2 linked regions of the Arabidopsis thaliana genome follow. The protein of the gene in region 1 interacts with the protein of each later gene in a pairwise test. Each region holds a gene or a part of one and is shown on either strand. Other genes may lie near its edges.

Region 1 (3,934 bases):
TGATGTGATACAGTTTAAAATGAATTTTTGTATCAAATTATCTGTTTTTACATTTGCGTATCGAAAAATTTAAAATAAAGAGAAATTTGTGAACTCATCCTTATCGCTCTGAAATTTTTCCAAATATTTTGAAAATGCTTGTCATTTAGTTGAAAAACACATAATCTTCACCACATATGAAAAATCTGTAAAAATAATTACTAATCATACATTTCACTCACCTAATTTTTTAATAAAAATATAATAAAATACAATTTTGACTAGCAAAATAAAAATGGTTTGATAATAACACGTTCGCAAAATTTGATCCATGACCTAAAAAAGAGTTTGTTGTTATAGTTTCCACAAAAAAATTGGGATACTATTCATTTTACATGGCAAGAAACGTAAAGGAACCGAATCATAATAAACAAATGAAAGATACTTAGAGCTAAGCATTAAGCATCCCATTTTGCGACAGGATTTGACGCATTATGCTTACCTCCATTTTAAAATTTGATATCTCTTGTCAAATCTTTATTTATATATATTATACATGATATGTATAAATATTTCACGAAGAAACAAAGTATAGATGCTTCTTATTGTCTGATCAGATCTCTACTTTTTATTGAGAATCTTGTATCAAATATGGTTCTTTTTGAGCCAAACACGCCAACTTTCAATAATCTTCACTTTGCTGACTACTACTTCATGTTGATTAACATACTTATTCCAAATTACGGCTCTAAAGAAAGTGAAACTAATTAAAACGTGCGTGTTGATACTTGATAGTATATATACTTCTTACGCATCGCCTGATTAGATATTTGTTTTTATTAGGATTCCATGAGAGCTATATTGCATGGTTAATTGGATAAATGGTCAGAGAGACGATTAGGATTAAAGTAAATGACAAGGACATTTTTGATTATTTCTCGATTATCATGGTGGGTGTAATTTAACATGCTGTTTAATTGAACGAAGATACTGTACTAATATTTTACACGCCCTAAGTAAGACTCACTTTATCCCATTTTATATAGATTTTTTTAAGAAATAATAAACATTTTATCATGATAAAAATTCAACCAATAGAAAAAATACGGCAGAATTCAAATAGTCATAAAATATCAAATTAATAGTTATGCATAGAAACTATAAAAAAAAAAAACCTTATAACAAACCATCAATATATTGCGACAAAGGCAGTTATAAGTAATCTCAAGGTAATATAACATGCTTATACATCCATATTACAAAACTCATGGATAAATTATAATGGGTTTTCTGCAAAAGAACCTTTCAAGTCAATCTCGTTTGCAAGTTTACCCTCCAAATCCGAGTTATGCAAGTCAACCCCATCATCTCTAAAGTCATCCGCAATACAGCCTTCATGTATATCGATAACGTGGCACTCAATAACTCTGTTTAAAAACATAAGGGTTTTATGGAAAAAAAACTCTCAATATAAATTTGTTTTGCAAAATAAACCTTCATGTCAAATAAATACAGATCAAACTACAATCTAAAAATCTCATGAAATATACCCCTTTTGTGTATCGATGACATGACAGTCGATACCCATTCAGAGCATGTGCAATAGGTATAGATTTTATGAGTCGTTTATTTAAGATTTTCTGCTATCACAATTCCATTAATAATAATTTTATATTTTTATCTATTCACTATTCTCGATCCTGGTTTATCTAAACATAGTAAATAATTTTTCTTATTTTTTATTCATGATAAATCAATTACTTATTTAATTTAACGTTCTATAATTTATATTTCTTTTAATAATTTATTCAATTAATACTTAAATAATAAAGGGTGTGCTGGTAAATTTCAATATAAAAAGAGTAAGCATAGTTTTTTCAAATTTGCATAAATCATTTGAACTCGTTATTTTCTTAATTATATAAATGGTATGTCTTTCACTTTGTACGGAGTATCCCAATGTGGGGTACATAAATATTAAGAGAAAAAAAGAGATCAAGCTTACTAGTTTAAGCGTTAATAATTATACTGACTGACCAATCTACTTGTTCATGTAGCTCTAATGTTATTAATTAATATATAGTCTTAGATTGATCTAATTAATGTCTGTGTATGATGTCACTTTGTGATGATGGAAGTCATGAGAGCTTCCATTACTTAACTCTCTCTCTCTCTCTCTATCTATTTTTACGGTCATGTATAGTGTAATCAACAATAACAAGAAAAAGCCAAGTTCAAAGCACTATACTATTAGTTAAAGACAAATGCGATAATGATACGATTCTGAGCATTACTTGAGTCACAATATATAGTCACACCCTCATCAAATTCTTTCTATCTTACCAACTTCTGAAAAAAAAGAAAAAAACCAAAAGACAAGTAAATACATATATAAATATACACTCACACACACACACATATATTGATATACTTATAATCATAAATCATGGTAAAGTTTGATACAAAACTATGGAAGGCTGTGCTTATGATGTCCATGATCAACATTGGTTTAAGTGTTGTAAACGTTATGTTCAAGAAGATGATTGATGAAGGACTTAACCGTATGGTCGCGACCACTTACCGACTTGCTGTAGGAACTCTGTTCTTGATACCATTCGCGATTTTCTTGGAAAGGTTTGTGTTTGTTTTTGCTAAACTGCAAATATCATATAGATGAAAAGGTTTGTGTTTGTATATGTATATCTAGTTACTTGTCTTCTTCGTTTTGAAAGTTTAAGTTATACTTGAATTTTTGGTTTAAATTATAAGTGGATGTCTTGTTTATACAAGTTTCTAGTTGAATGTTGTTTTCAAACTCTTTTCTCCTGTGAATATGTTATTATATATTCGTATTCCATATGAAAGATTTTGTAAGGAAAATAATTTGTTCTTTTTTTGTTTCTCTCTTTTTGTAGACATAACAGGCCAAAACTCACGGGTAGGATCTTGTGTTCACTCTTCTTTAGCGCTCTTCTGGGGTATGTTCATTTTATTAGACTGTTCACTTATAATAAATGTTTACAAATAAGTTTTGAGTTGTTTATTTTGATCTTGATCGTTCATATATTTGCAGGACAAGTTTGGTGCAATACTTCTTTCTTATTGGACTAGAGTATACATCTTCAACTTTTTCCTTAGCGTTTAGCAACATGGTTCCTTCGGTTACATTTGCCTTGGCTCTCGTCTTTAGGTATTGAAAAATCGATCAAACACATTTGGATTCTTCATATATATGCTCTAGTATTATCAAAATTATTTATAAACTATACGATTAGGCAAGAGACGCTGAACATCAAGAGCAACGTAGGAAGAGCCAAACTGCTAGGCACAATGATATGTATTTGTGGAGCTTTAGTGCTTACGCTTTATAAAGGAACCGCTTTAAGTCGAGAACACAGTACTCATATGGAAACACATACAAGAACTGATTCCACCGGTGCAATGACACAAAAGTGGGCAATGGGTTCGATCATGCTGGTTATATCGATCATAATATGGTCATCTTGGTTCATTGTTCAAGCTAAAATAAGCCGAGTTTATCCGTGCCAATACACGAGTACCACGATCCTCTCTTTCTTTGGCGTGATTCAATCTGCTTTGTTGAGTTTGATCTCGGAGAGGAGCACATCTATGTGGGTCGTTAAAGACAAGTTCCAAGTTTTAGCTTTACTTTATTCGGTGAGTAATCCAATATACTATTTAATCAACCTACAAGATCTATATGTCAACATATATAAAATTTTATTTTAGTTGTAATTTGTAAACAAAGAAAAAAAGAAACAAAAAACTATTTATGTTTGCATTTGACATGGATATTTTCTTTCTTGTCCCCCAATGACTTGAGTTCAACTTTTTTCATGTCCCATATCTATCTTTTTTGCTATCTTTTCTTCTTCGATAAATTTAGTTTCCGAATCCACCACTGGTGTAGGGTATCGTTGGATCGGGATTGTGC
Region 2 (3,934 bases), on another chromosome or scaffold:
ACAGGTTAGACTAGTAAACTCTCTTGTCACAGCTGTAATTCCCAAGCCTCTGATTTCCTGCACATCCTAGGTTACTTACTTTTCTCATCTGATGCGACAAAGGGACATTAAATGTGCAACTATATTGGTGGACGCCAATGGCACCGTCAAACTTGCAGATTTTGGATTGGCAAAGGTTCTTTTCCAATAATAGATGTTTATAGCTTTTACTCTAACTTAATTACTTGGTCCATCGTTTATCCCCCTTACTCAATATATATGTCATTTTTTTCATTTAGGTGTCAAAGTTAAACGACATTAAGTCCCGCAAGGAAACTCTATTTTGGATGGCTCCAGAGGTATACTTCGGGATCCTTCCTCCTGTTTTGATTGTTGTGAATACAATGACAAACATATCATATATCAATAGCAATGATGGATGTTATACTGTTGCTTATATATGTTGTTGCAACCGTTGTGATATGGGCTTGATAGCCTCAAAAACCCCCGATTATGTTTCCTTCATAGTTTGATTAAATTTCCTTTATTTCTGTTTATAACTGTAAGTATGTTTGTGTAATTATACGTAACAGATATATTTGAATTCCTTCCACTTTCATTGTAGTTTAGGCTATACTTGATCAGGTTATATGTTACAGTTTTTCCTAAATGGAACATAATAATTTGATCAGGTTATTAACCGGAAGGATAATGATGGTTACAGAAGTCCAGCTGATATATGGAGCCTCGGGTGCACTGTGCTGGAAATGTGTACTGGTCAGATCCCATACTCTGATCTAGAACCCGTAAGTCTTCAGGATTTTCAAACTTTTGAACTGTCTTATAATCTTAAACGACATTGAAGGGTCTACTTAATGGGATTTTATGAGTTAAAGGTCAGAATTTGTGCAAACGCGCAGGTTGAAGCCCTGTTTAGGATCAGAAGGGGTACGCTTCCGGAAGTACCTGATACTTTATCACTAGACGCTCGGCATTTCATACTTAAGTGTCTCAAATTGAACCCGGAAGAGCGTCCAACTGCAACTGAGCTACTGAACCATCCATTTGTGAGAAGGCCCTTACCATCCTCAGGCTCAGGATCAACATCTCCGCTAATCCGTAGATGAATCTAATTTTATTAGATTGCCTCCATAGGTGAAGCCTCTAGTTTCGTTTTATTGAGAATATATTAGGATCAAACGCTATATTCTAACATTGATATCTTAATGTATGAGAGCAGGGGTAACCAGAAGGTTTATGAGATATTAGACCCCATAGAAACTTTAGGGGAGACACGAGATATGATTCTTTGATACATATGCTGTTTTGGTTGCGCAGCAAGAGCTAAACTTTCTCGAGACATATCTTCAGGTAGTTTCTGTCTCATTCATTGGTTGGTTGTTGTAAGTTGTGTCACTTGTGTGTGTTGAGCTTATATTTAAAACTGAAGAGCCTTGGTTAAATTAGAGTTTTGGGTGCATAGGTTTGTTTAGTTTTGTTAAATTATAGTATCATGTAATGTATAAGAAGAACCTTAGTTGATTTAGAGTTTCGGGTGTATAGGCTTGTTTGGTTTTGATAAATTATATAGTGTATGCATGTAACCCATATCATGTAATGTGTAATTATAGTTGGCTCTTATATAGTTCCTGCTTGTTGCAACTGTTTACACATCTCATGTCTCGATGGATTTAATCTCCAATTTTTCTTATATATATATCTGAATTATACATGCATACATACACTATAATTTAACAAAACTAAACTTTTCTTTTGGGTGCAAAAACATAACCTATATTCATCTCTTAATTATTTTACGCTGAAGAAATCTGCTGTTTCAATTAAAAAAGTATGGTCAAACCAACATTTTCTTTGAAATTTTGGTGAAAGCCACTCTCATTGAAGTGTATATATGATTCAACTTGTTTCTTACAATATTTGCCCCGTTGAAAACTTTTTTGCCATCGATGAGTTTCTTTAAGGGCAAAGTTCCTTTAAGAAATGCTTTTAGATTTCTTTGTATACCTATGAATTTTTAATCAAGTGATGAAGACACGGAGAAAAATCCTAAATTGATGCTAAATATTTTATCTGTGGACTTAACCAAGTCTCCCACAAAAATAATACAAGAATCTGCAACAATTTTTAAAATTCAGTATTCAATTATTATTCAGATACTATTACTAGATTGAAAATTCAACTCTTGTCATAAGTCGTCGTCAACTTCTTTTGTTTGCTTCTTCCTTTTTCTCTAACAGGTGCAGTGTTACTGCCAGTTGTTTGGATATTTCCACTTGTGTATTTATTCTCTCTATCTCTTTGACGTCGTCTACAGACTACAATGGACGTAACTGCTATCTTCGCCGGTGATATTTTGGTGCAATCCAGAGAGTATCTTATCCCTAATGATGTTGTGGATGTTGATGGTGGTATTAAAGCGGTAAGACCACCAATAATTCAGCCCCCTCCGGGAAGAAAACTACCTCTTATTGACTTTCCAGGATCATCGTGGGATTTCCTTACGTATTTTGCTCCAAGTAAAACAGTTAAGCGGCAGAGTTCCTCCTCTTCTGATAATACCTCTGATAAAGAGGAAGTTGAAACGGAAGAGACGCGAGGTATGTTTGTCCAGTTGGGGGATACGGCTCATGAGGCATGCCCATTCGCTACAAACGAGGCTGACTCCTCCAGTACAGTATCCATTATTTCGCCGAGTTATGCCTCTAGAGGTTCTATCGTCCCTTCTTGGCTGAAGAGGAAATTTCTGGGACGAGTATCATTAGGTTTTGTGTATGAAGGCAGTTCAGGGTAAGTGCTAATATCTGTAGCATTATCTCATTGCTATATCTTTTATTTTCTATGGGAGATTGCACTACTTAGTCAGCTTCAGCATCATAATATCATGTCTTCTTCTAGTTCCTCCGTTGGTTCCGAGTCGACTTGTTCCTTGATGACGCCTTCTCTGGAGTTCCCGGATCGCATCAGTTTCCGGAAAAAGGATTTCAGTGAAAAAGGTCCTAGTCGACACGTTTGGGAAAAGCGTAAATTGACGCGTGCCAAGTTGATTGAAAATTTTTGCAATCCGGAGGACATTGAACCAGTCACATCTTGGCTGAAGGGTCAACTTCTAGGAGAAGAATCATTTGCCTCTGTGTATGAAGCCATTTCAGAGTAAGTCTTACTGGTTGCTTATGTTTGTTGAACTTAAAATTAGATACTTAGTTTATAGGAAAATAAACTTTAAATTGGGAAATGTGATGCAGTGCGAGAGTTTTTCTTTGTGTGTTTTGTTGATGCTTTTTGATGGATGTTTATGTTATCCTTTAGATCAAATTATACACTCTTTAGTTGGGAAGAAAAGAACAACATGCCTATTTACAATAAGATGTTTAATGAGTTGAAAAATACGGTGCAAAGCGACTTTTATGGTTGCATTACCATTGTGGCATTATCTCATTGTCTTCTCTTTCATTTTTTATGGGAGATTGCATTACTTAGTCAGCTTCAGCGTCATTATATCATGTCTTTTTCTAGTTCCTCTGTTGGTTCCGAGTCGACTTGTTCCTTGATGACGCCTTCTATGGAGTTCCCGGATCGCATCAGTTTCCGAAAAAGGGATTTCAGCGAAGAAGGTCCTAGTGGACGTGTTAAGGAAAAGCGTAAATTGATGCGTAACAAGTTGATTGAGAATTTTCGTAAGCCTGAGGATATCACGTCTTGGCTGAAGGGTCAACTTCTAGGACGAGGATCATATGCCTCTGTGTATGAAGCCATTTCAGAGTAAGTCTTACTGGTTGCTTACGTTTGTTGACCTTAAAGTAAGATACTTGGTTGAGCCAACATATGCTTTTTTGGCTGGTGGTTTATGTTAAATGTAGAGATGGGGACTTCTTTGCTGTCAAGGAAGTTTCACTTCTTGATAAGGGAATTCAGGCACAAGAATGCATTCAACAAC

What was found.
Region 2: the proteins of UMAMIT32 (region 1) and MEKK3 interact in a protein complementation assay, tested with the Arabidopsis thaliana proteins (one large-scale study listed by BioGRID).

The regions. Positions count from the first base shown.
Region 1 is NC_003074.8:11,954,201-11,958,134, forward strand, and holds the start of UMAMIT32 (nodulin MtN21 /EamA-like transporter family protein), read left to right. Parts: upstream 1-2,332; 5' UTR 2,333-2,425; coding exon 2,426-2,613; intron 2,614-2,894; coding exon 2,895-2,957; intron 2,958-3,052; coding exon 3,053-3,169; intron 3,170-3,254; coding exon 3,255-3,657; coding exon of another isoform or gene 3,658-3,729; exon of another isoform or gene 3,730-3,767; intron 3,768-3,910; coding exon 3,911-3,934.
Region 2 is NC_003075.7:5,385,425-5,389,358, reverse strand, and holds the start of MEKK3 (MAPK/ERK kinase kinase 3), read left to right. Parts: upstream 1-2,098; 5' UTR 2,099-2,320; coding exon 2,321-2,787; intron 2,788-2,895; coding exon 2,896-3,150; intron 3,151-3,513; coding exon 3,514-3,759; intron 3,760-3,857; coding exon 3,858-3,934. Other genes in the region: MAPKKK9 (mitogen-activated protein kinase kinase kinase 9), read left to right, coding at 1-4, 103-175, 279-338, 672-785, 900-1,106.